Linked DNA regions of Notamacropus eugenii. The protein of the gene in region 3 interacts with the protein of the main gene of each other region in a pairwise test. Links are inferred from orthologs where the notes say so. Each region holds a gene or a part of one and is shown on either strand. Other genes may lie near its edges.

Region 1 (5,776 bases), on a different chromosome or scaffold from region 3:
ACCCCCAATTTTGTCTTTCCCGTCTAGGAAGGTCCATGCCCTCCCTCGTCTCCACTGCCAGCTGCCACATTCCATAAACTGGTCAGGCTTCAAGAGGAGCAAGTGGGAGTATTTATTATTTAGTTGCGCAAAAGTCAGAGAAAAGACACTTCAGAAGGAAAGGAGGAAATCGGACCCCAAGTCCATCCCACCCAGCAGACTCCCTGTCCAGAAGACAGTGCAAAGGAGTATCCCAACGCTCTCCTGAAGCAGCCCCGCGCCAAGGTTAGGGAGAAGTGACTCTCTCCTCCCGACACCAGTTAGAGAGATTTGCATATATTAAATCTACAGTCTACAATTTCAGGACAAGCTAGGCTTTAGGGTGTAGGGGACAGGTTTTCCAGAACTGTTTCCCAGGTGAGTGCATTAGTGGCCCAGAAGTCGTATGTTCGTTCTGCGAGGACCCACTCTGAGCCTCAGAGCTGTCCCCCCTCAGCTCTAAGCCAGCAGCACTCTGCTGTCCTGGAGCTCTCTCTCACTAAGGCCGGGCTCCCTGGTTCGCCTCCTGTTTCTCGCAGCTGGCCAGCAGCTCCGTCATGAAGGAGATATATACGATGGCCAGGCGCAAGGTTTCAATTCGGGATAGTCGCTTCTCATAGGCGAAGGTGGGCACCTTCTTCCTCAGCTGGTCGAAGGCTTCATTGAGGTTCAGCATCCTCTTCCTCTCCCGGATGTTGGCCGCCTGTCGCTGGGCCAGAGTTATTACCCTCTTCCTCTTGGGGCGGCCCAGAAGTAGCGAGGCACCTTGTAGGGGCTCCGCTTCCTTGCCTCCATCTCCCTCGCCATCTCCCTCCCTTTCCTCCTCTTCTTCTTCGTCCTCCTCTTCCCCCTCGTCCTCTTCCTCGAAGGGCTGAAATCCCCGGGCCATGCCCTCTCCGAGGGCCAGGGCCTGCTCCCCCAGAGAGCCCCCGGGGGCAAGGTCATAGAGAAGAGGGCCTCTAGGGGACACCAGGGAGAGATCAGCCACGAAGTCCAGTACCGTGGTGTCCACGAAAGAGTCCTGGCGCTCCATCGGGGGCAGTGGACCCTGTGGCGGTGCCGTCTCATGGAGTCCTCCCCGTAAGGGTGCTTCTGGGCGGACTGACCGCGGACTGGGACGCCTGATCGATGGCTCCGAGGAGATGCGAAGGTGGATGCCCGGAGTGCCTGCTACTGCCCCAGACCCAATCCCAGCCTCGCCTTGGAGTAAGCGGCCATGGAGATTGATCCCAGAGCAGACAACAGGATTAGTTGCACCGAGGACTCTTGGCAAATATCCCTGCTCCTAAAGCTGATGGGAGCAGACAAGCCTGAAGCCAGCTGGAGGGATGCATAGTCTAGCACAGGATTTGGGACTGTTTCACTGCGCCAAGCAGAATAGTTCCTCTTTGGTCGGGCACCCCAGAATTCCCCTGGTTGTTGCTCCTATGTTCCTTTTTCCACTCTGGTCCCCCAGCCTCAGGATGGACCTGTCTCTCCTGCTCCTGTTTCTGGAACTGCTGACTTAGGAGCTGGGTGCTGGCTTTTGCCAAGTGAGGGAAGGGGTAAAGTATTCTCTAGCTAGAGTCCTGGCTCTTCCGTGACCACCCCCAGGCTGCCAAGTGATGCGAGACAAGTGTCTGGATGCTTTCAATGAGGTCCTGAAGAGGGGACCTGACCGTCAGAGGTCACCGGGGAATGTTGACCCTGTCTCCCAGAGCTGGGAGAGCTGAATGGCAAGACCTCCACTCGGCTAAGTAAGCATACTGGGGGAGCTCAGCTCACATTCCCCAGAGTCGCTGTTGGAGCCGTCTTTCTCTGGCTGACACCTCCCGCAAACAGCTCTCTCAGTCCGTTCTTCTGCAGTGAAACCTTCAATCCCCCCTCCCCGAAAGCAAGTTTAGTTGCTATCCTCGCAATGAAAGAAGAGATATTTCTTCCCCTCCCCCCCTCTCCCCCGTCTCCTCCTTCTTCAGGCTTAGGGAGAGCAGTAGACATCTGGGAGAAACAAGAAACATAGGCCAGAAGTTGGTCGTACCCCCTCAGCGCTTGGGTTCCTCAGTGACGCTGCTAACGCACTGGCACTGAAATGAAATCCGCTCCTCCTTGTCTAGGGAAAATCGGAGCATGGCTCCAGAGCAGCGTCCAGGGTTTCTTCATTCTCCTTCCCCAAGGTTATTTGCCCTTCGACCAAAGAGCCAGTCGATTAGAACATCCTCTTCCCTCTCCCCTCGCTGAGCAGAAGGTCGATTTGCCCATCAATAATTGTAAGTTTATGAACAAAGGGAAAAAAGAAAACACACCCACAACTCCTCAGCTGATTGATTCCTCATCATCGATCGGTGCTCTTCAGACAGTAGGACTTGAGGTTGAGGCAAGCTTTTAATTAACTGTATTTAGGGAAGGCAACATCTGAAATGTTTATGAGACCTACATCCCAGGATACCACTTCTTATTTTCAGAGTGAAGGGGAGAGATATTAAGCTTGATCTCCTAAGGAAATAAAAAGATTGGACAATATAGCCAGTATTTGCAACAGCGGTGCCGTTTTGTTTTCCCCCTTTCAAAAGCTTTTTATTTTTGGATATTTAACAGTTTAACATTTAACAAATGCCTGTGAATAAGAATAAAAGTGAAGTAAAAAAAAGGAATGTGAATTTTGAGGTTTCAAATAAGCAAATATCTGTAAAAGATATAAAAAACAGAGAGATGGAATTTTTTTTTTTAAAGTGAAAAGAGTGAGGATTTTCTTAGAAAGCCTCACTTTAGGCACCATCAGCAACAAAGTGAATTGTCACTATAGTACATGAAGTACATTGGACAGCTCCCACAAATCGGCACGATTCATAGCAACCGACTTACAGGTAAGCTTAAATAACCACACCGGGTCTTGGCAGCCTGACAGTCAGCAACCAACCTAGAGCTCCTTTGAAGCCTGATCTTTGAGTCCTAAATTTTTATTTCCTCTCAGCCCATTTGTCTACAAACTGAGATCCCTTTTGGCTTACCGTATTTACTCATTCTCTCCTTGTATCCTGGAGTATAGCATGGCAATAAAAACTGTTTCCTATTTTTCTTGTAGGACCTAAGTGACCCACAAAAAAAAAAGATTCAAAGTGTCTTTATGCTTGATCATCAATTCAGTGAATTTGGGGAAAAGATTGAGAAGTAGCAACAACAATAAAGGCAAAGAGTTAAATCACCAAGAGGTGAGGAAGCAGAATCCTGTTTTAAGGCTTGCCATGGGTTGTGAAAGATAGCTAGGTGACTCACTGGACAGAACAATGAGTCTGGGGTCAGGAAGACCTGGGTCCAAACTCAACCTCAGACATTTACTAGTTGTATGATCCTGGGCAAGTTACTTAATTTCTGTTTGGTTTAATGCACTAGGGAAGGAAATGGCAAAGTATTCCAGTAATCTTTAGCAATAAAAGCAGCAGATCCCATGGACAGTATGGTCCCTTAGTTCATAAAGAACAGCAAGAAATGGGTTGCAAAAGGAAACAAAGTCTTTCTAAGTTTCTATCTAGATTAAGTGAAATCAGAATTCCCACTGGTTCCTTCGTGCCTCAAAATAACAGCTGTGGAATAATTTTATATTCAAAAGTATTCATTTTTATCAATGGGTTAATAGTTTAATTTGTGTGTAGAGAGACACCTGGAAGTGGCAGAAAGAACACTGGACTTAGGGAAGACACATTTGGGTTTGCATTCTACATTGGAAAAAAAGTTAATCCCTCTGAGACTCAATATCCTCTTTTGTAAAATGATACGAGCAACTTAGAGTCATTGGCAGCTAGTTGGTACAGTGGACAGAGCCCTCTGCTTTGATTCAGTTCAAGTTCCAATCCTGTTTCTTGTCTGAGTTTTTATTCTGTCGCACACAGTTACTACCTGTTTGACTCTGGACAAGTGACTTAAACTCTCTCAACCTCAGCTTCCTCATCTGTCAAATATGGAAAATTCTGCAGATGGTTGTTGTGAGGATCAGCTGAGATAGTATAAGCAAGGTGCTTTGAAAATTTGAAGTATCTATCATCAACATCCTTTTTCTTCTTCTTTTTCTCCTCCTCCTCTCTTTTTTCTTCTCGTTCATCAGTATGGTAAAATAGAAAATTGATGACCACAGAGTCAGGAATACCTGCTGTCAAATCATCCTTTTGACTCAATTTGGCAAGTTATGGAACTTCTTGGGGTGCTAGACAACTTCCCAAGGCTATGCTTCCAAACTGGTACTTATTTGCCTTGACAGGAAGAGATTTCTCAATGGGGGTTATCTAGTCTAATGGAATCACAAATCCATTACTTACCCTATCAGATAAAAGCAAACAATAGAAATATAGCATATATTTTAGAGGATTTGGTGAAGATCTAGTGAAATAATGCATGCAAAATGTTTTGCAACCTGAATATATTATATAAATATGGATCATCACTATACACATCCTTTGGGGCTAGTTATATCAATCAAAAATAATACATTGACCACAAAATTTACTTTGAGAATGCTGATTAAAGAGATTCAAAAATAGAGATATGCTTTCAGCATTAACACACACACACACACACACACACACACACAAACATACAAACACAGATAGACGCTCCCTTATAGTTGTGGCTAATATAGGTACAAATAAGAGTCAAATGCTAACCAGTCATAAAAAATAGTGCAAAATTGTTCCATAAAAAATAGACAGTTCACAAGTTACAATGGCAGGCAGTCTATTACAGCTGAAAGAACACTGAAAGTCAGGACAGTATTTCTAATATTCCCTCTGCTGCTCATTGTCTGGAGTCCTTGGATAAGTCACAGCTCATCTCAGTAACTCTTTGCTTCTCTACACAGCGGGGAGCAGAATGCATTTGGAACTAAAGCTACAAAATTTTCATTAAAATTGACTTGTTTGCTTAAGAGTGTGACTGTCCCTGAATTAAAAATTAATTAAATATTAGTCTCCTCCAGCCTAATTTCTTACAAAAGCTTGTTTCTTATTTTCTGAGATTATAGAAAAAATATTTTACTCCATAATAACTTTAACTTATCTTACTATGCAATTTAATTTAGAAGGCTGAATTGCAGACCAAAAATTACTGGCAATTTTTTCTTTTAATAAACAACATGTAAAATAAAAATTTAAATAACTTTTTTAAAATAAGAGATTACATAGCATGATGCATAGAGGGAAAGTTTTGGAGTGAAAGAGATCTGAGTCCAAGTTTTGTCTTTGACACTTATAAGCTAGGTGACTGTGGACAAATCACTTAAGCTCTCATTGTCCAATGACATTTATTATGCCTGCAAGTAACAGAGTAGTTGTTAGCTGGAGTTAATGAAGTGTTTTTGACCACAATAGGTCATCTCTAAATAGCTGAAATCACAAGTTCAGACCAAATAAAATTTTAAAAAGGATACAAATAAAAGACTGGAAAAAACAAAGACTATTAGTGCCTGCTTATTTTTAAATACTCTCTAGTAACGTTATCTTTTCAATTAAATGTAAGCTATAGATATATGTACTTAAGTTTGAATTCAGTGTTACTAAATTCATAACCATGTTGTAGCTCACTGTCAAATTATCCTTCAAGTTTTTACCATTTCATGCTGTCCAGTGATAATAGAAGTAGGTGTTCTTTTCATTGTATAGCTTTGGAAGAAGAGATGCCAAAATTAACCACTTAGTCATGGGTCAAAGAGCTGCAACGCTGGCTGGGAACACAGTTGATCTTGGTTCTAGCCCTGCATATTATAATTTAATCTAATATAGTGATCTGTTAT
Region 2 (7,391 bases), on a different chromosome or scaffold from region 3:
CACTCTTTGTATAGTACTTGGGTTCCCAGTGCCTAGCATGGTACCAGGGACACAGTCAGTGCTAAATGAACACTTGTTGATTGACTCATGGTCACTTCATTCAAGAAGTCAGGGTTTCATTGATTTGATAAGTCAAAACATGTTTGGTCTACTCAAATGATATGCTTTTTAAAATCAAGATATAATTATCAAAATAGCTAAGCATAAGAAGCCACTAACTAAAATATCTAAATAATATTTAAAGGGCTACACTATTTAGAGTAGGAAATGAAAAAAATAAAACTGAACCTTTGTTTAGCACTTAGGGCTCATGAAATCTTTGAATGTTGCAGCCTCAGTGACTGCTTCTTCCTCTGAATTCCTTTATTCTTTGTTTAACTCATCAGACACTTGGCATATGCTATTTTGTATGTACGTATATGTATATATAATATATATGTATGTGTGTATACACAAAATATTTAAATTGTTGTAAATTTCCTGCCTTCTCTTTATCAACTGTGAAAATAGCTAAGCAACTCCCCTGCTTGTTGAAAATTTATAATTCTGTTATTTGGAATTTTTTTCATTTCTTCAGTTAAACATTTAGATAAAGGAAAAAGACATAAGAAATATGAGGCAAATTCCAAACTTTCTAAGCACAGACTCAGTTCTATGTTGCTATCTCCCAGTTCTTTTGCAGTATTAAACAAAGAATACTTATCACCCCATTCATTCTCAGGTTTAAAAGCAAACACTTAACTAATTAAAAAAAATTAAACTGATAATTGGTACTTGCTTTCTATCTTGTCTCAACTCAGCTTGGCCACTGCCTTGCCATGTGACTTTGGGAAAGCCATATAAATTCTCTGGGGCTTAGTTTCTATATTTGCAAAATAAGGAGGTCAGACTTAATGGTAGTTACTAGGTTTCCTTCACTGGAGGTCTTCAGACAAAGCCTGAATGACCACTTGTCTGCTATGGTGTATGGAGGATTCCTTTTCAAGTATAGGTTGGACTAGGTGACTGAATTTCTACCTTGAAATTCTATGATTTTCTTCTCCCTGCCCATATGTGAGAAACTAAAACTGGAAGTGATCTCCTGCTTTAGAATTGTATCACATCTTAAAGCTCATGCCTTGCTGTGAAATTTCCAATCAAGTGTAGTTCCAGCTTAGAGGAATACTATAAATAGTTTTCTCATTTTTAGCAAAGCACCTCAAAAAATCTCTCGTGTAGTTTTTGTAGGCAGAATAGAGAGATATGGACCAGATCAGGGGTGGGGAACCTGAGGTCTCGAGGCCAAAGGTCTCTAGGTTCTCAAGGGTGGCTCTCTGACTGAATCCAAACATTACAGATTAATCCCCTTAATCAAAGGATTTCCTCTGTAAAACTTGGACCCTGTCAAAAGGCCGCACCCAACGACCTAGAATGCTAATGTAGCCGCAGGTTCCCTACCCCTGGACTAGACAATACTACATTTCAGTAGAATTGGTACACAGTAAATGCTTAATAAATTTTCATTCATTCCTTTATTCATTCAATCAACTTAGAAGAAAGTCTCTGCAGTATATTCCAGAAATCTGTGCTTGGTGCTGTGCTGTTTAATGTTTAGTAATGACTTGGTTAAAGACACAAATAGCATACTTATCAAACTTGCAGTTTGAGGATGGGAAGAGTAAAAAAAGATCTTGACAAGATTGATCATTGGGCTATATCTAATGAGATGAAATTTAAGAGGAAGTTAAGTCTTTAAGAAACAAAACACTGACTTGAAAGTTCAGAGAACTCATCAAAGGAGAGGGACTGAATTCAGGGAGAGCAGTTAGGAGTAAGAAGTGATAAAGACTTGGTCTGGGGTGGTTGTTAATAGAAAAGAAGATATGCAAGAGGAGATGGAGTAAACAAGACTGGGTAACTGGTTAGAAGGGAGAGAGAGTAGGGAGATGCGGATGACTGCATTGTAGTTATTGCAAACCTCGGCTACTAGAAAAAATGGTGGTATCCTCCATGGAAACAAAACCGTCATGAGGACGGTTAGATTTCAGGAGAGAGGCAACAAGTTCTATTTTCAGTATTTTAAGTTTGAGATGTGTTTAGGACATCCAGGTGGAGATGCCCAACAGGTGGTGGGAAATGAAAGACTAGAATTTAGGAAAGAGGTGAGGGCTAGATTGGAGAGTGACCTGCATAGAGATGATGGTTCAGAAAATGATGAGACACAACAGAAAGAACAGAGATGGCCCAGGACAGATTTCTTGGGTGTAGGTTACCTTGTTCAAGGACCTTTTGATTAGTAATATTGTTGTTTAGTTGTGTCTGACTCTTGATGATCCTACGCATAGCACACCAATACTAACGATGGGGTTTTCTTGGCAAAGATACTGGAGTGGTTGGCCATTTCCTTCTTCAGTGCACTAAGGCAAACAGAAGTTCAGTGACTTGCCCAGGGTCACACACCTAGTACGTGTCTGACACTGATTCATACTCAGGTCTTCCTGAGTCCTTTATCTACTGGTCCAGGTATCATACATGGAGAAAAATGCCTGTCACAGGTGTTCATCAGGGTCATGGAAGAGATTCAGCTCAGAGTCCAACTCAAAGAGAATTTTCCCACAGACTCTGAATTTCCTTAAGTCTTCCTGCTCGCATAGGGTACTGAGCGGGTTACAGGAAACCCCAGAACACTGCAGACTTGGGGGAGGCCTGGAATCATCCAAAGGAGTTTGACTTCACTATCCACGCAGGAAAACCCGCTGGGAGAGTCACGACACACAGTCAGACAACCTCTGTGGACATGAGAGGTGTCATTACACCCCACAGCCTTGGAGACTCTGAAGGAAAGGAGGAGAACAAGAACCGTTTGGGGTAACGTATCACCAGCATCATAGCTCAAGGGTATGCCTCCTCAAGGGGCGGAGAGGGAGGGCATTTGGAACTCAAAATTTTTGAAAAATGAGTGTTAAAGTTTTTAAAAATGCAATTGGGAAATATGTAATTAAATAAAATACGGAAAAGGAATGCTTCGAAGAACATGACTTATATAGAATTTAGCAAAAAAAAAAAGGAGTTTATTAGGTACCTACTGGGTGCCAAGCACAATCCAACTTTGGGGAAAAGCTCGGCGCTCCTGGCACGGTGTGACTTTGCCCGGAGCGCCCGAGGCCCCTCAGGTGCGGGGCGTCCGCTCTAAGCCGTCTACACCGCAGGACCCGGCTCGCTGCACGTGGGAGCCCGAGTGGCGCCGCGGCCCAGCTCCCGCTCCGCTTGACGGCTGCGCACGGGCACGTGGTGGCCCGGCGGGAGGAGTGTGACGTTCAGCAGGGGGGCGCCGGCAGAAGACGGAAGAGCGGCGCCGGCCCATCCCCCCGGCTCCCCCACCCCCGCGGCCCTCCTCCAGGCCCCGCGCGCCCTCCCCGCGTCTTGCTCGCGCCGGCGCGCGCACCTCCCAGGTCCCGGCTTTTGCCTCCCACCGGGCTGGAGGGGGCGGGGGGAGGGGGAGGTTTTTGGAGAGCTAGAGGTGCCTACGTGAGCGAGGAAGTGACGCAATACCGGGCTAGCCTATAAGGACGGGGGGCGCTCGCGGCCCCGAGGCTCCAGGTTCCGTGGGCTCCGGCGGAGTGCTGGGTACCGTTTATTAGAGCGGCGGCGGCGGAGGACGACCCGAAGTGAGTGACGCGAAACAAAGGGCTCCCCATGGCAGGGCTCCCCCTCCCAGGGCCTCCCTATCGCAGGGCCCCCCCCAGGGCCTCCCCATGGCAGGGCCTCCCCTCCGGCTCTCCGTTCTGCGGGGATGAGCGAAGCCGGCGTCCCGTCCTCCTCCCTCCCGGCGTTTTTCCCGGGTCTGGTCCGGGGATGCCGCGCGGGGCTTTCCCGCAGAGATCGGAGAACGGGATAGGAGAACGGGACCGGACTTTCCCCCAGCCCCGCTCCCCACCCCGTGCGCCCATCTTCCCGCCCTGGGAGGGGCTGGAGCGCGCGCCTGGCGGAGCGCACTGCAGGTGCATGGGGGCGCCCCCAAAGCGCCCGCGCGATCCTCGATAGTTGGGAGAGCGCCCCCTCCCCTCCTGTGCGCCCCCGGGTGCCGGCTCCCCCGCAGCCCCGGCGATCAGCCTCCGCTGCACGCCCCCCTCGGACCCGTGCGCTCCCTGCCTGCTTCCCCCACGCCCGGGCCCCGCGTCTTCACCGCCCGAAACCCGAAGCCGGGCGCTGGAAAGCGCCTGAGGCTCGGTGGTCCTGGGCGCGGGAGGAGGGAGGCCCCCCGCTGTGCCCGCGCCTGCTGGAGCACGTGGCCCGCTTCAGGAAGTGGCCTCGGGGAACGAGTGTCAGGTTCTGCGAAGTGACCTTGAGCCCGGAACCTTGCACTTCCCGGGGTTGGGGGGCCCCCATTCCCCCTGGGGGGCGGCGGGGCGGCCGCGTGTAGTCCAGCCTGGGGGACTGCGGCTTGGGCCGCCTTGTGTCTGCGTACAGGGACCGAGACATCTAGCCCGCGCATGGTGCTGTTCTTTAACTTGACTTTTTGGTCCGGTATCTCAGATTGTTTCATAGTTTAGGACCCTTGGCATCAGGCTGAATATTGGAAGTCTCTTTAAAAAAGAGCAACCAACAAGTTAGTTTGATAGTAGAGTTTAATTTACTTAAATTATAGAATTAAATTATAGAATTAAAGCTAAATAATTAATTTAATCTACTCGTCCATTCCCTGAGATGGGGCCCAGGTTGTGAAGGGAACTGGGGGGATCGATGGGTGAGGGCCCAGGTTATGAGATGAAGTGATAAAAGGGTCATGAGCAATTTCTTGGGGAGACCTCTGGAGTCTTACTTGGATTAGAATTCATCTTTCATGTCTGGTTGGGGAAAAGTGTTTATTTTTAGCATTAATATATTAATTTATAATGTTTAATATACTTCAAGGATCGTTCTGTTAATATCGTATGGAGAATGATGGGCCTAGGTACAGGTTTTGGGGGAGATCTTAGCCGGTACCTTGGAGTATAGGTGGGGGGAGGTGCTTTTTCCACCACTACACACAACTTGTATTTCTCCTATTCAGGATTTAGCCGGTTCACCCAAATTTGCTGTTAGCCACTTGTAAAATGGCAACCCTTTTATTTACTACTGAAATTTTAAGTTTTTTTGAGTAGTTTGGATTATATGAATCTAAAGGACATCTCAAGTACAACATTTCTTTTCCTTATGATATATCAGAATTTACGATCCTGATATTGCAATTTCAGTCAGCTTGCAAAGTAAACATGCACTAATGGCTGAAAATCTGTACCTTGTACCTTATAAGTTTTTTTATAGAGGTGAAGAGAACTTAAAAAAAAAAAAAAGCTTTGCTTTGACCCAGCATAGTTGCTTCTACCTATGGCCTCAGGGAAAGTTGGAAGAGAAAGCTGTGCTGTCCCGAGTCCTCACACACCTGATACCTTTCATTCTGGCTTTGCAGATAGGTCTGGAATACAAGTTGCAAATTCAGTGATCTCTTGTAAGCTCAGAAATTTGACCTCATTGACCATGAAATAAAGCTGACATCCAATTTTCCTCATATTGCTTCTTCCAAATTAAGAATGGTGTTTTCTGTAGTAGTATGCCACAGAACTTCTCTTCCTCCCTCCCCCCAGGTACCTGTGTAATAGAAACAGTGGTGCTTCTTACCTTGGAATATGGAGCATGTGACAATAAGACTTTTCATTACCCTGGCAAAACTAGTCTTGGATAGGTAGTTCTTGCTCCATAGGAGCAAAGCCAGAGTCAACGACTGGGTTTGGGAAAGTTCATTTTTACATAAATTGTTTACCCCAAGTAGGAGTTATTTGCTACTAGATGCAAATATATATATGCAAAACAAGGGTTGTTTCATTTTTTGTTTGTATCTGCTCAGCATGTAACACAATGCCTGATTAGGGAATCATTACATTATATTGCTTGTTAATCGGTAGTCTGGAATGGAGTGTTGTTATATGGTAGTCTTTTTTCATCATTTTTAATAATGACACCCAAATTATAAATAATAGAAACTAGTTGATACTAGGTATAGGAGCCCCACCCAAGATCTCCAACATATTTCCAAGCTGGTTTCTTAGTCTGGTTTGCTAGGTTGTGACCTTCCAGTGGTAATACAAGTAGTAGACTTGGCTGACCTTCCCTTTTATGAAAGCATTTGGCAGAGTTTCTCATATTGCCCTTGTGGACAAGATGGAAGCTAGACTGTAGTACAGTGGAGTGGATTTGGGTCAGTTGAATGACTGGACTTAAAAGGTTTGATGGCTAATACTAATTTGGAAGAAGGCTATGCCAAATGCTCCTTACTGTCCTAGACTCCAAGTTACTGAATTTTTAAAATTAGGAACTTTTAATAATTACTTTAGTAGAGGCATAGCCTTTAAGATATGCTTATCAAAGTTTTCAAACAGCCTGTTATGTTGGATGACCAAAAGATCTGCAGACAGTTGAAAAACTTTAGTAATACATTGTGACTGGCAAAAGAAAAAAAATTGCTAGGACTTTGAATCTGCAGTAAGAAATTTAATATTTGGAAGTCCTGTATTTTGTCCTGATCAAACCAAATCTGGAATATTATATTTATTTCTGGGTGTTTAATTTTAGGAAGGTCTAGAGTGATTCCAGAAGAGGAGGATAACCAAGATGGTAGGAAGAATAAAGACCATGTCATAAGGAACTAGGAATGTATAGCCTGGAGAAGTAAAAGGAATGGGGGGGAGGGTAGAGTATGTGAGAATATGATAATTATGAAAAGGAATGCTGTGGGATACAAGATGGCTCAGATTTAAGAACTATATAAATGTGAGTTACTAATCCTGAACCAAGTACTTTGTTTTTTTGTCCCTAGAGAACAGAACTGTAGGAATAATGTGGTGATTTCAGTCAGTTTCCTAATAGAAATGACCTGAATTAGCTGTCTTGGGAAGTGGAAAGTTGCTCTCACTAAAGATCTTCACACACTGATTTGGATTTCTGTGGTAGATGAGGTGATTTTTGAGCTACTGTTCCATTTTTGAGTTTCTGTGATGGTGGCATAAACCATATGATTCTTTTCAGAGTCTTTTACTGTGTGACATTTGACTAGGTTTATCAGTTAAAAGTGTTAACTTCTGTGCTGCAGAGCAACTTTCTCTGAAGCAAATGGCTACGTAATTAAAGGTGTGGTGACTTTTGGTAGTTCTGGCACTGGAGATTTGGTCTAGTGTAGGGGCTATGATAAGTCACTTCCCAGAATAGTAAGAGAATATACTTCTAGGAATTACATTTCTTGCTTGAACTCTGGTTTTTCCATTTCCCGCCTTAGGTTCTTTGGAAAATGACCTTGATTCCCTTTTTAGTCTATAGGCTCTTAGGCATTGTGGACACTGTCTGTAATTCACTTTATAGCCAAGTGAGATATATAT
Region 3 (7,497 bases):
AATATGTTCATTTCAGAAGTTGTTTTTAACAAGAAGAATTAATGTTAGTTCCTAGAAAGGCAGTTTATGGAGCTGGAAAGGGACCTTAGAGAGGTCATCCAGTCCAACTTCCTTTATTTTACAGATAAGGAAACTTGAGACCCAAAGAGAGGAATTAATCTGAGCCACATTCTCCTCACTTATAGACCAAGGCCCTTTTCCATTTCTCGAGGCTTGCCTCCCCCTGTGAAAGCCAAAATGCAACTTTCTGGGCACTGCTAGTTAAAACAATGGGGCTGGGGGCCAGAGTATTTTCAAGGAAAGTCATCAAGTATATGTTACTTGTATGTAACATGCCCACTGTATGTGTGGTATTATTTCTATTTACTCTTTTATGGTTATCTAAACTTTCACTCTTCCTCAGCACTAAGTCCATGTTCTGCAACATACCAAGTGGGTGCTTTTTAAAATATTTGCTAGCAATTTTTAAAAGGCTTCAGCAGTTCGCAGAAAGCATCTAAAACAGTTGCAATCAGTCAAACAGGAGAGCTTAGTGTAGACAATTCTACCAGAAACAAGCACTAAATTAACCAAAAAGTTCTTTAGAGCCTGTGAACCTTTTTGTTTCTCTTAAAGCCTTCAACCCACGAACATGAAATTTAAGGTGAAGATAAAATTTATCAGATAAACTGTTGTTCTTGGAATCCTAGAGAAGGAAGGGTTTTTAGAGATTCAATTTAGCCAAATGAAGAAATCAAAATGTGGCTCAAAGTCACACAATGAGGGCAGAACCTGGACCACAGGTTCAGGTCTCCTAATACCCAGGAAAAGACTTCAAAGGGAATTAGCTCAAGGATTATTACCCTCCACTTTCCTAGTGAGGAAAATGGAGTTTACTTTCCCACATTCAGACAGCTGGAAGAGGCCAAGTCAGCACTCAACCTCCAGTGTTCTAGCTCCTACAAGCTCTATGCACAGACTACAAAAAGGCAGGAGGCTGGAGAGCTACCAGGGTCACCTGGTTTTGGGATGGAGTCAAGAACTATATTTGGAGTCAGAAGACCTGAATTCAAATTCTGATGCCCAGGAGCTTATTGCCCAAGTGGCCTCAATTTCACCATTTAAAAAATGAGAGGGTTGGACTAGATCTCTAAAGGTTCTAAATCTATGATACTCCAGGACGTCTAGGAGTCTCTTCAACCTTAAAGTTCTATTACAACTCCATGAGAATATAACTTTATCCATTATTACTCTGGGATACAACTTTTGAAGCAGGGTCAGAACTCCTCTTTCAATTACTCTCTAAAACGTTCAGGACACTGAGCATGAACATTATTACCCAGCCAAGCCTTGGGTGGTCCTCGCTGTCCCATATAACCCCTTCAAATTATACATTGTTATCGTTACAATTTAACTTTTGTCCTTCCTGAAACTGTCAGTACCTTGAGAGAGGGAATTTTTTTTTCTTTTTATTTCCACGACATGACATAGTAGTAGAAGGAGTAGTGGATTTATAATCACTGGACACGTATTATCCTGGCTCTGAAACTTACTAGCAGTGTGGCCTTCAGCAAGTGCCATCACTCTCCCTTGGCTTCAATGTTCTCTCTGTAAAATGAGGGGAACAGAACCAATGATCTCTAAGATCCTACGATGGGGCCATAGTTGGAGCCCAATGAAGGCTTGCTAAGTTGAGCAGCTAGGTGGTAGAGTGACTAGAGCGCTAGCCCTGGAGTCAGGAGGATCTGAGTTCAAATCAAAGTCACTTAACCCTGACTACCTTTACAAATAAAAAGAGTAAATAATTCCTTTGTTTCTTTTGGAAACAAATCAATATCTCTTCTATGCCTGTCCCTCAGCCAGTCAAAAGACAGCAAAACCTGTTGACTATAAGAAGACTTCCATCCCACTTAGACCTTTCTTGATTTCTGCCTACTCAGCCATCAATCAATCCTACCCTCCCACAGCTCCACTAAATGACCAGCAGACTGTTATTGGTTGGGGCAGTACGGCAGCTGTGTTAGAAATGGCGCTGGACTGGGAGCTAACACAGCTTTTGGGGGTCTGGCTCTGCCACTTACCGGCTAAGTGACCCCTGGTAACCCACTTCATGTCTCTGAGTCTCTGTGTTCTCACGTGCCCCGTGGGGCTGTCATGCCCTCCTACCTCACAGGGGTGCTATGAGCACCCAATGAGATAACACCTGGATGGGGCTTTGCTTTCAAAGCACAGCAGGAGTGTGAGGGATCGATCGCTAAGCCCAGTGCAAACTATTAAAACCAGAATCTCTGGAAAGGCTTTTTTTTTTTTTAAACGTGAATTAGAGCCTAAGACGGAAAAGAGCCCTTAGACTTAGGTTTAAGTGGCAGGGGTCTAATATTTAATAATGACCTTGGACAAGTCCCTTCCTCTCCCTGTGCCTCAGTTTCCTCCACTAACGCTACGAGCAGTTCTGGCCCTACCTACCTCACAGGAGAGGACTGGGTGCGGTGGCGAAACCTTTGGACTGGGGGATCCGAGGCCCCAGGTTCGAATGCGGACGGTGGGGGGGGGGGAGAGGGGAGAGACCCTGGACAAGTCCCTTAGCTTCTCCGGGTCTTAGGCTCCTCCGCTGTAAAAGAAGGGGGTTGGCGGGGGGCCTAGGAGAGAGATTCATGGACTCTGGGGAAACGGGAGAAAATGAGCCCTTGCTCAATCCTCGGGCCCCTCCGCTCCCGGAGCCCGGACCCTCGCCCTCCTGCAGAGGCCGCGGCTTCTCCACTGCCTTCCACCGGAGGAGCCGGAGCCTGGGCCGGGGCCTCCCTCCTGCCGGCCGCCCGCTCGCCTCGGGGAGCCGGCCGCGCGGGGCAGAGCAGCCGAGGCGCACAGCTCCGACACCCGGGGCGGAGGAGGAAGGGCGTCGCGGCCTCCCTGCCCTCAGCCGCTCGGCGGCCGCCAGCGCTGCAGTCGCCACTCACCTTAACAAGCTGCCGAGCCCCCGACTCCGCTCCGCCGCCTGCTGCGCCTGCGCCCACGCCTGCGCACCTCGCCGGTCGTCCCACCTCTTCCCCTCTGCCATGGCGATGGCGCGGAGGCAGTGCCCGGCTCCGCCCCCTCGCGGTTCTCGCGGGCCTCGGCCTAAAGACCTGCGGCGCAGGCGCGGATGACGACGGGCCCTAGATCAGGCAGAGAGAAGGCCCGGGCTGTAGTACTATTCACCGACCGGAAGTCTCGGTTCCAGGCTTTGCGTTTTGTGGGCCGGAAAAAGGAGGCCCGGAGTGTTGCATTGTGGGAGGACTCCATCCTCTCCTCCCCCTCCTCCCCCGCCCGCTCTTTTTTTTTCCCCCCCGCAAAGAATGATGTCATTTTCTCTTATTCCGTGACGAATTCGGTCACGTGCGTCTGCTCGCGTGCGCCCTGTGCCTGCCACTTACTTCAACTGTAACTTTGTAACTTTGGACAGCTCACCTTCCAGGCTAAATTCCGTTCGACTCAAAGAGCATCGTATCAAGCGCCTTCTCTGTAAGAAGGATACAAAGACAGACGGACGGACAGACACAAACGACCAACTGCCCCTGCTCCCTAGCACCTTCTGGTCTTCAGCCTCTGAACCTCGTTTTCCTCTTTTGCAAAATGTATACTCTTAAAAATTACCAACATTTGTATAATTTATAATCATATGATATATAGACATACTTTGTGTTCATATAGACCATATAATTTCCGTTTATAACATATATGTATATAATCTATATTTGATGTATAAATGCATGTAATAGATAAGTATTATTTCAAGTTTTTTTGTATTTATATGTTATGTAAATGTATAGTATATTTGTATATTGTATATTAATATACTTACATAGTAAAGCTTTGAAATTTGCAAAGCACATTACATGAAATTAATCCATTTGAGCCTCCCATCAACTGTTGTGTAGTTAGATAATATATTATTTGCATTTTACTAATGAGAAAATTGGGTGTCCCAAAGGATAAGTGATTTGCTCAGTCTCATAAACAACATAAGAGTTCTATAAGTTCTTACTATGTGAGCAAAGCTCTGGGCTAAGTGCTGGGGACACAGATAAAAGGAAAGAAGAGGAAACTTACCCTCAAAGAGCTTAAATTGTAATGATGAAAGACAGGACATAAAGAGAAGCAGCAGCCTACCCCACTGGATGGTTGGGAGGAATTTCACAGAATTTTGAGTTGATAGGCAGCACCACAGGGTCCACCTAGGTCAAGAGAATCTTTAAAAAACATCAACGAAGACCTTTTTTAAAAAAATTTAATATTTTATTTTTCCCAATTACACGTAAAAACAATTTTAGCATTCTTTTTTCAGATTTTGAGTTCCCAATCATCTCCCTCTCTCTCATCCCCCTCACTGAGAAGGCAAGCAATTTGACATAGGTTATACATGTGTAGTCATGTAAAGCACATTTCCATGTAAGTCATGCTGTGAAAGAAAACACAAAAAAAAACCCCAACAACAATAAGAAATAGAAAGCAAAAATATCTTCAATCTGCACTCAGCTTCCATCAGTTCTTGAAAACCTTTTGGTAAGGCTACCAGCTGCTGCCTAGGTTGAGGCAACTTCTTTCATTTTAGAAAAACTAATGAGTAGGAAATTTCCCTTATTTGGAGCCTGAATCTGTATAAGGCATGATCGGTTCAGACCCCCTCACCGTCCTTGTCTTCCTCCTCTGGATCCTCTCTAGTTTATCAAATGTTTTGTCCAAATCCATGATTTCACAGAGCTCCTGGTGAGGAAATTCCCTGCGCAGATGGAGAGCCCCAACTGTTCTGCAATTTGTTAGGGAAGCTGAGGGCACTGAGAAGTTGTAACTTGCCTAGTGAAGATCACAATATGTGTTCTAGGCAGGACTTAACCCCAGGCTCATCAGTAGCTTTCTTAAATTAATTTTTTTTCCTTTGTAAAACTTTTCCTTTGTAAAACTCCTTGAAGGTAGGAGCTGTGTCTTTTTTTGTCTTTGATAACCCTAGTACTGGGGACGCAGAGCTAGTAGGCATCTAATAATATTTGTTGATTGTGAGTTAATAGAGCACTGATTTTAGAAAAAGAACATGGATTTGAATCAGGACTCTAATCCCTCTATAGGCCTCTGTTTCCCCAACTATGAAGACTTTGGACTATATGCCATCTAAGGTCTTGCCCTATGGAAATATGAAAAGTATTCAGTGTTTTAAAGCAATATTTAAATGCAGTGGTATTCAGAAAAATCAACTTTTAGCACAAAGTAAATTATGAAACAATGATATTACCTCACATTTGTATGGCACTTTGTGATTTACAAAATGCTTTCTTCACAATGGTGTTGTGAGGTAAGTAGTAGGTGGTAGTAGGAGGTAGTAGGACCTAACCAAGCTGACAGGGTTATTAGGACTTCTAAAGGTAGGTCTCTTCACAGCCTTTTCCCTACATCAAAGACAGTACTAAAATAAGTGGACTTGTCAAAAATTCTCCTGTTTCTGAAGAAGAAATGAAAACCAACCCAAGACTAGCAAGGGGTAGGCCAACTATGATTTTATTACAGTTTCATGATGTATTATGGTGGAACCATCTCAAAGAATTCAGTGTCAGACTGATGGGGTGCTTGGGTGCCTGTGCTTGGACCCCAATTCTAAAATCCCATTTCTCTCTAAAAATCACATTTCTCACTAGCCTCAAAACACTATCTCAGGCAGTTTCTCCCCAGCCCAAGGACAGCCTGCCCTAGATCTCTCTTCCTGATACAGCAGCCAGCTGCCCCTATAAAATTTATTCGTTTGAACCAGCTGCGTACTGGGTCAAAACAATGTTTACTCCTCACTGACCAATCATATACATCCTCGACTTAGACATAAGTATACTCCCCTCCTTTATCTTGTCTAACAAGACATTGATGGTAACAGCCTAGGTATTTCTCAGTCAGCCCCGACTTTTAGTTGACTTAAAGGCATTTCAGTCCTAAAACCATACCTCCATGTAGCACCCCCTTTGGGCTATTTCCTACTGAACTCTGGGTAAAATAGCGAAGTAGACACTAAAAGTGTCTTTAAGTTCCTTTAAGAACTAACTACTCTTTAACCACTCCCTAATCTCACCCAGAATCACCTAGTTAGCATATCTAGCACATGTTTTACTATAGACTATCCTATATAAACTTTAACTGTGTCTCTCTAAGGTCGCAGGTTCCCTAAGAACTCTTGCCCACTGAAAAGTATAATAAATCTTTACCACCTTTACCACCTTGACCTCAAGAATGCTTGAGTCTGTGAATTTTCCAGACTACCTACACCCAGGGAACTTCAGCTTTGGGGTTCCTGTATCTTTCCAGCCCTCATGAAGACCACCTGTAATCCAAGTATAGACATTTATTGAGATTGACTCCTCTCATGAAGTCAGCTAAGTTCCAAGAGGAACCAGCAACTTCAGAAAAAGAGAGATAGATTTCTATAGGGCAAAAATGCAATTAAATAGCAGAAACTATGAACGTTAAAAAGGCAGGAGGAGTTTGTTAAGGGATTAGGTAATGGGGAGGGGACCCAGCTACAGTGGAACTGTGTATGCAATTACCCAAAATGCAGACAGACAAAACTTTTTGGGGGGTATGTATGTATGATAATGATATTATAATAAGGCTATGTCATAAAGTTCACCTAAAGGGTAGTTTTTGCCATTACTGAGCAGGTGCCTACTTAGGGAAAATCCTTTCTATTGTTTGAGGGTCCACATCTCGCTTGGGCATCCTAGTGGTGCTGCTTTCTGATTGGCTGAGTATTGTGGTCCTATCAGAGGCTAGATGGATGTGGTTGTGGTTGAGTGCATGGGCATACCTGCCATTTCTGTGGGAAATATGAGGAATGGGTCTGGGGATAGTAGCTAGCTAGAGGCAATGGCTGGGATCTCATCACATGGACAGGCCTAATGTTCCATGAGAAATATGAGTCCATGGAAACACCTGTGGTTCCAGTGAGCAGTGAGAAAAAGTTAGGATATTGAAAGGGGTTGGGGGTGTGAGTGGCTAGGTAGGTGCAGTGGGCCTGCTGTCCAGTGGGGCCTATAAGGAAGTTAAGATATTGGGGTTGCAGGCTATTTTATTAGGATTTCATCAATTTCTTCTGAAGAGAGAGGGGAAAAAATCGCAGACTTCTTGTAAAGCCAAATTAAAAGAAGTCAGCAGACATTCCTCTACTAAACAGCAAAATCAGGAACTACCAAACCCTAGAATCAAGTGATTTAACATGGATCTCCTCATTAGCTATTGAGTGACTATACAGAACCTCATCAGTTTCCTCAGCTATAATATGGGAATACTACCTTCCTCTCTGGGTTGCTATGAGGTTCAAATCAAATGACATATGTAAATTATCATTTGGCAAGGCTCAAAACACTTTGTAAATGTAAGTTATTATTAGTCCTATCCCTAGGACTCCCCTGACAAATTCATTTCTGCAACTGGGCTGAGTTAAACAGATTGATAAATGCATAACTACAAACTTAACTAGCCCACTCTATAGCAGACCACCAGACT
Region 4 (7,562 bases), on a different chromosome or scaffold from region 3:
TAATCAGGCTGGAATGTCTGACACCTCTGGACTAAGGCACAGAGGTAGGAAAACCCATATATAGAACAGAGTAGTATTAAAATAAAAACTTTGAAAAGTTGAAGAACTCTGATCAACGACAATTCATATCTCCAGAGGACTGATGGTGAAGCACATTACCCACCTACTGACAGAAAAATGAAAGACCCAAGGTGCAGAGACATAGATTTTGGGACATGGTTTGTTTACGCTTAATTCTTAGGAGGGTTTTTTTTTTCTTCTATAAGTTTTTAATTGGTGGGAGGAGGGGGGTGGAGTATTACCAATGGGAATTTTTTTAATAATCATTTAAATGGGGATTTTTTTTTTTAATGAACAGAAAAGGACAGAAGAAAGTTCTGAAGGAAGCACCAACAAGCAGGAGTTTTGAAAGCAATATTTCAAATGATTACACACTTTTTTAAAAAGCAAGCAGTATGAAATGTAGAGCTAGTTTCGTATAAAAGACTAAAGCATGAAAGGGGTATAACATGCATTAATAAAATCCTGTATCTTTTAAAGTATTGAAATATGTACACTCTATTTAAGAAAGCAGAGTATATCATATATTTTAGAAATGTCTACCCAAAGGAGTTAAAATTTTAGTCCTTAAAAAAAGTATGTAAATCCACAGATTTCTAGATATCTCCTTCATGAGAAACACTTCATTCTTTCAAAATATGCAATAAATAAAGTAAGCAGGGATACATCCTACATCTGAACTTCAGCTCCCAAAATCCCTAACCAGAACCTGTCCCTGGTAAATCCTAACCCTAAATGCGCTCAAGGCCTCCACTAGAGCTTGGTAATTTGTCCTCAAAGGACTTCCAAAACTAATAACACAATGAATTGATAATTACCATCCATAATTATAGTCCAAAAAAGGAATGGTTTCTCCTTCGCTTTGAAGTCTGAAGAACCTGAAACCGAGTTTCCACATGCTGAGGCCCTGACAGGATTTTAAATCGTATGGTTATTCTCTTTGTGACTGGCTTCAGTAATCACTTGAGAATTGAGTCCTATTGGAATTCTCATCTCAACTTCTGAAAATTAGGCCTAAACATGAAATTACTCTGAGGCACAACAACACAGGCTTCTGGATAATTTTTGTGGTAAACTGAGGTCTTTGCCAAGTCAATTACAAATAAAGTTCACAAATCTGATCAAAGATCCTTACAGCTGGACAAAACCTTTAAGATCATTTGATCCAGCAAGCATTTATTAAGCTGCATTTTTATTTCAATAGAGCAGTTTAGAGAGTTCAAGTTCAAAAACAACCAATAGGAATTCTTTAGCTTCTAATATCTGTGACCTCACTGGGCCCAGAGGAACTTGGCAAAGTCTGACAAGAAAGCCCAAAACTGAATAGTCTCTGCCTATCTGTACATACATACGAGTCAATCTTTTCTCTACCTAAGGCCACTTTGGCAGACTACTTTAGTAGTATGGTCTCCAATCAGGAAAAATGCTTTCCAATTGAGTAAAAAGGCAAAAATGATCAGTCCTATTTTTCCTGCAAAGGCACAACAAGCCTTAATATGGAGTCAGGGAACCCAAATCTGAATCCTCTACTATGCCACTTATTACCAATGTGACCTTGTGTAAATGACTTCACTTCTCTGGGCCTCCTTAAAATGAGACGACTGAACTAAATGGTCATTTGCATCTCTAAACCTATGAACTTCTAGTTTAAAACGCCCTGTGCCCGCTTCTCTAGCTCCCAACCCTAATGGTTTAAGCCCTATGGTTATGAAAACCAGTCTGGAATTTGGTAATTACAGTCCTCAGCCCCTTCTTCAATAGGCTGTATGCATTTAAAACGTGAAAGGGTCGATTTGGCAGGAAAAAAAGCCGTTGGGTTCCCCGGGATTCCTCCATTCTTCAAACAGCTTTCATCCTGCTGCCATTATGAGCGCAACGACTGAACTTCCACATGTGTGGCACCATAAACAGAAAGGACAATGCTTTAGCTCCAGAAAAAGAGCACAGTTCAGTCTGGTGCATTCTCCTCCCATCGGCTAAACAATGACACAAATCTGCTGAAACAGGTGTCCCGAGCTGCTCAGCAGCAAAAGCATTGACTTTCGCATACAGTGCGCAGGCCATTCCTCTGCAGCTGGGAAAACACCTGGATGCTCAAAGCAAGGGTTTCCAACGTGGCTACCCCCAAAACCCCTGTTAGCAGGGCAGTGTGGCAAAGCATGGCAAACTTTGAGGAGACAAATAAAAGTCACAGGCATCCCACCCACTCACTCGTTCACTTAGGCCAAAGTACAAGAGTTGGGCTAAGGCAGATCCTCCTCCCGACCCCTCCCTCGAAAACCCCCAGGTGCGATGCCCCAAAGGTGGCTGCCCGACAACTTGCCAGGCTAGCTAACTCGTTCCCTCCCTCCTTGCTGGCTAACCAAGTCCGAATTGAGTCTCGCCCTCTGGTAGGGTCTCGGGTCGGGCTGCCAGAAGTGCCCACGATCTGGAGGGGAAGCTGAGCTGAGCCCAAGGCAGCGGCCCGAACCCGCCCCTCCCCCCTCGGGCCAAGCCCGGCTAGCACCTGCCAAGCCGACGTCACGCAGGCCCGGCGGCTGGGGGAAGGGGACACCTCTTTCTCTAGGTCCCCCTTCCCCCCCACCCCAGAAGGCCGCAGGCCAGCCTTACCTCCTCCGTTCAGCAGGAAGGCCGAGGTGAAAGCTAGGACTAGGAAGCGCGCTGAAGCCCCGCAGAACATGGCTGGAGAGCAAGTGGCGAGGGGCAGATGGAGGAGGGGGGGGGCCCGAGAGGACCAGGAGGCGCGCTAGGACACGGGAGAGAGGAGAGAGCCGACTCCCAGAGAGGAGGGGGAGGCGCAGGCGGCCGGAGCAGACGAGATTCCCGAAGAGCAGAGCCAGCCCTCTGCGCGCCCACGCGCACGCGCACGCACAGGGCAGACGCACACGCAGCGCGCGGCCGGAGCGCGGCAGGCGCGGGGCGGGCCTAGAGAGTGGGTGGCTGGCGCGAGGCGGAGCGGGACAGGAGAGGGGAGGGGTGAGGACGGCACTGATTGGAGATGGGCGGGGATGAGAGAAATACTGCAAAGAGAAGGCTCCTCAGAGGCTGGGCAGGAGCCGCAACGGGTGGGCTGGAGCTGGGGCCGGGGCCGGGCCGGCCGTGATTGGAGGAGAAGGCAGTGGCCAGGGCCTGATTCAGCAGTGTGACTTTACTGCGGCAGAGAGCCCGCGGGTGGGGCTGGGGGCAGGGAGAAGGGAGGGAAGGGGCGGGGCAGCCTTTGTCTGTTTCACCCTGGGGCGCCTTCCAACCACGCCCCAGCCCCCTGGGAGCCCAGAGTGGGGTGGAGGAGGGGAAGAGAGCAGACCAGTAACAGGGTACCCTGAAGGCAGCCCAAGAAGTGTTTGCCAGCGCCCCAATTCTGGTGTCACCCTCTGCCTCCCCAAGCGACAGCCCATTAAGCTTGGGGACAGCTTTCATTGCTAGAAAGTTTTCCCTGCAATTAAACATAAATCTGCCTCTCTGCAACTTTCACTCTGGCAGACTCCTAGTTGTCATCTGTTCCAGCCCCTTTGTTTTACAGATGAGAAAGCGGAGGGCCAGAGAGGCTTCTTCCCATCTACCTACAAATATTCCCAAATCTCTCCAATCCAAACCTCTGGACCCTTCTAGCCCATCCCACCACCATCTCATCTCTATCTTCCCCTTACTGCTATGCTTCTCCAAAAGGCCATCTATGCCCAATATCTTCCTCACAAGCTACTCTCGCTGCCACCCCTTGGCGACCCCATCACCTTCCTGAAACTGCTCCTTCAAACGACCACTTAACCCAACCTGATGGCCCTTTTTTCATACCTTATCCCCCTTGATCCCTCTTTTGACACTTTCAACCACAGTCTCCTGCTAAGTAGGCCCTTCCTTCCTCATTTTCAATGACAGCCAAGTTCTTCTAGACTTATGTGCACCTCTCTCATTGCTCATTCTTTCTCAGTTGACTGGTTCTCTCATCTTACTAATCAACTATACATGTCAATCAATGCTCCATTAGGCTCAGGCCTTGTCTCTCCCTTCTTTTTGTTAAAATGTATGGATTCATTTTGGTTTTGATACAACTGAACCTTCTCAAGCTGGTAAACAAACACAAAGTACATTTCCTCTAAGTTAAAGCATCCTGTGTTTACAAAAAGGAGGACTGTGTCCTTTAACTTTGACCTTATAGTACTAACATTGACTGGTGTAATAGACCAGGGTTTTGTTGCCTGGTCCCTTTGACTTTGTTTATATGGTTGAGATCATAGTGGAGACTGTTCTTTTTGCTCAGTTCCTTCCCTCCCCATCAGTTCTTGTAAGTTTCCCCAGGTTTGGCTAAGTTCCTCATTCCTTAGGGCACAACAATATGCCCTTACATTCATATATCCCAATTTGTCCAGCCATTCCTCAGTCTTTAGACTTATATTTTGTTTCCTGCTTTCGTTATCATAAACAGTTCTGCTATGAACATTTTTTTTGGACCTATGGGTCCCCTTCCTGCTGTCAAAAACCACCTTAGGATACAGTCCCAATAGTGGGATCTCTGGGTCAAAGGGTCTGAACAATTCAGTATCTTTTCTTGCATGAAATTGATTTTTAGAATGATTGCACCATTTCACAAACACACCAGCAGTAAATCAGCCTACCCATCTTCCCACTGGTGACTTTTGTGACTTCTCATCTCTCTATACTCTGTCCCTTGTCAATTTCATTTATTCCCAATTGCTTAAATTACCACCTCTCTGCAGGTGACCCCCTAATTTATATCTCCAGTTCTTACTTCACTTCTGAATTTCAGACCACCCCCTCTCTAATTGCCTACGCATCTCAACCTCTCCTACTAGCCCTGAAACGTTTCAAAATAAGCTTGCTCATCCTTTTGATTTCATTGTTTCTGTACATAGCAACACCACTGATCCACCATACCAGGTTCATAACTTTGGTTTTCTCTTTGGCATTTCCCTCTCCCTCATAGTTTCAGTCCCTGTGGATCCCTTCTCTAAAAAAGATAAAATCACAAAGGAGATTGGGGTGGGAGGAGGGATGGGAAGATAGGAAGTACACTGGCCTGGAACGTTCAAGTTTTGCCTTTGTGACCAGCTAGTCACTTCCTCTCTCTGTGCCTCAGTTTTCTCATCTACAAAATGAGGATTACACTACATGGTCTCTAAGTTCTCTTCTACCTTTGACAGCGTAGCATTCAACAGCAAGATGATGGAGCAAGAGGAAGAAAAAGATGGATTTTTTTTAAAGTTTTAGTTGATTGGAAACAAATATTTCTGTAGTCATATGTGCCAGACAACATAGCAACTATGTGCGTGTGCATGTATACACTAGAAGACAATATTTTTCTAAACTATAAGAAAAAATAGGTAAAAATATAGCTATAATTGGAGATTTAAATCCCCAGGTATTGTATATTCTTAAGTCACATCTAATTATGTCATTACCCTGCTCAAAAAACTTAGTATTCTTAGTTGCCTTCAAGGTAAAATACAAACTACTTTTCTATTTCACATTTCAAGCCCATTACAATCTGGCTCTGATCTATCTTTCCAGAATAATTTTCTTTTCAGGTGAGACAGTTGGGAGTAAGTGACTTGCCCAGGGTCACATAATTAAGGTCAAATGTCTAAGGTTGGATTTGAACTCAGATCCTCCAGACTCTAGGGCAGGTGCTCTATCCACAGCACCACCTACCTGTGTTTCACATTGTTCCCCTTTCTTGTTCTCCATTCCAGCCAAATTAGTTTTCATGCTGTTCTCCATATACTACATTCGTTTTCCCACCTTCACGTCTTTGTTCATGCTTGGAGTACCATCCCTTCTCACCTGTGCCTCTTGAAATCCCTAAATCCCTTCAAAGCTGAACTCAAATGCCTCCTTTCCAAATCATTCCCCACCCCCATCCCCATTTTTAGAGGCGTCTGCCAGCCCAAATGACTTTGTATTTATTTTACGCATATTTTGTATTTAGTTATCTATATGCATATCATTCACCCCCTCCTAGTATGATATAAGTTCCTTGAGGGCAGGAATTATTTCATTTTTGACTTTGTAGACCCAGCAAAGGACCTGGCAGATAGCAGATACATAAAAAATGCTTGCTGCATAAAATGGAGTCAGGACTTTTCTCTTTTTCAAGGCCTCATTATCATGAAAATGATTCCATTGGCTCAAAAATTTAAATTCAGAACACCTAGTCTCCCTCTGAAGGACTGCGTGTCACCCAGCTAGGGCAATTTTTTTTTTTTTTTTTTGCCTTGATGGTTTCCCAATGGGATAGGCTGCTCTCTCAAGCTCTTTCATAGGCTCGGCTGAGTTCCTGGGAAATCTGCATAGGAACTTGGCAAGGAATACGTCTGTCTCAGCTCAATTTCCTCTGCAGCCTTTTTCAAGCAGTGGCACCTGACCCCTGAAAGAACAGGGCCTAACATTTCTGGCTCCTGAATCCAGGGCCTTGGTTCCTCATCTGCAAAACGAAGGGATTGGACTGGGTAGCCTCTGAGGTTCCTTCCAACCCCAAATCAATGATGCTGTAATCACTATAGGGAAACTGCCAGTGTGGGAACTCCCATCACAATGAGCAAACCTCTATTCTTTCCTTCGAGGTGGTGGGAGGAAAGGAGATGGAGAAGGAAGACCAGCAGTGAGGAAGGCAGCATGCACTGTCACAGAAGGTCATTGTCAATTTGGCTTAAATGTTTTTCTTTGACACAATAGCTTGGTGCGGGGGTAGGAAGAAATATAAGACTGTGGTATTGAAACAAAAGACACCAATAAAACTTAAAGAGAAAACCCACCAGTACCCTTCACCGTGCAAAGCAGCAATTTTTCTGTAACTTCTAGTCTCGAGAATTGGCTAGGTCATTGAGAGGTTAAGTGATGTGTCTGGAGTAACAAAGCCAATATGTTTTAGATCCAGAATTTGAACTCTGGTTTGTGTGAATTCAAGGCCAGTACTGTATCCAGCAGGTGGTACTGCTGCTCTAATGTGGGTCCTTCATATGGCCACCCCTTCCCTCCCCATCCCTTCCGTGACAGAAATCAGACAGGACAAAAATCATAAAGTTCATCCCCACAATTTTCTATCCTCAGAATATTTAATTCAAAACCTGACCCATCTCTCAGTTTTCCATACACTGAACAATTTGCTAAATTCATTAGAAGCCCTTATTGTTATGGCTTGTAGAACCCAGGCCTGAAAGGGTTGGTTGGTCTCCTGAAAAAGAGAGAGGCAATATGGTCTACAGTTGACAGAACACTGAAATAACAAATCAGCAGACCTGGGTTTGAATTCTGGCTTTACTACTTGTTGAACTTGGTTTTTGTCAATTACTAACTGTGTCTCAACTTCCTTGAGCTTCAGCTGCCTTCTCTGTGAAATGGAAGCAGTATTACTTGCAAGTGGTGTCAGCCTTAAGGCCTTTGTAAATCTTAAGGCACTACAGAAATCTGAGCTATTATTATATAAGTGTTTGCTGACTTGTCTTTTTTTTTTTCCTGTTTGAGGAGTCTATAAGAGGAATTAATAA

What was found.
Region 1: the proteins of SGTA (region 3) and FERD3L interact in binary tests that used the Homo sapiens proteins (3 or more experiments, as listed by UniProt). The two-hybrid records come from large-scale screens. The link is inferred for Notamacropus eugenii from reciprocal best matches to the Homo sapiens genes SGTA and FERD3L.
Region 2: the proteins of SGTA (region 3) and TFRC interact in binary tests that used the Homo sapiens proteins (3 or more experiments, as listed by UniProt). The two-hybrid records come from large-scale screens. The link is inferred for Notamacropus eugenii from reciprocal best matches to the Homo sapiens genes SGTA and TFRC.
Region 4: the proteins of SGTA (region 3) and CD99L2 interact in binary tests that used the Homo sapiens proteins (3 or more experiments, as listed by UniProt). The two-hybrid records come from large-scale screens. The link is inferred for Notamacropus eugenii from reciprocal best matches to the Homo sapiens genes SGTA and CD99L2.

The regions. Positions count from the first base shown.
Region 1 is NC_092874.1:11,736,823-11,742,598, forward strand, and holds FERD3L (fer3-like protein), read right to left. Parts: upstream 1,052-5,776; coding exon 518-1,051; downstream 1-517. UniProt on the Homo sapiens protein: Transcription factor that binds to the E-box and functions as inhibitor of transcription. DNA binding requires dimerization with an E protein. Inhibits transcription activation by ASCL1/MASH1 by sequestering E proteins.
Region 2 is NC_092876.1:336,315,876-336,323,266, forward strand, and holds the start of TFRC (transferrin receptor protein 1), read left to right. Parts: upstream 1-4,371; 5' UTR 4,372-4,472; coding exon 4,473-4,475; intron 4,476-7,391. UniProt on the Homo sapiens protein: Cellular uptake of iron occurs via receptor-mediated endocytosis of ligand-occupied transferrin receptor into specialized endosomes. Endosomal acidification leads to iron release.
Region 3 is NC_092875.1:62,997,572-63,005,068, reverse strand, and holds the start of SGTA (small glutamine-rich tetratricopeptide repeat-containing protein alpha), read right to left. Parts: upstream 3,022-7,497; 5' UTR 2,937-3,021; intron 2,567-2,936; exon of another isoform or gene 2,446-2,566; intron 2,136-2,445; exon of another isoform or gene 2,061-2,135; intron 1-2,060. Other genes in the region: THOP1 (thimet oligopeptidase), read left to right, coding at 5,464-5,491. UniProt on the Homo sapiens protein: Co-chaperone that binds misfolded and hydrophobic patches-containing client proteins in the cytosol. Mediates their targeting to the endoplasmic reticulum but also regulates their sorting to the proteasome when targeting fails.
Region 4 is NC_092879.1:70,371,435-70,378,996, forward strand, and holds the start of CD99L2 (CD99 antigen-like protein 2), read right to left. Parts: upstream 3,003-7,562; 5' UTR 2,741-3,002; coding exon 2,671-2,740; intron 1-2,670. UniProt on the Homo sapiens protein: Plays a role in a late step of leukocyte extravasation helping cells to overcome the endothelial basement membrane. Acts at the same site as, but independently of, PECAM1.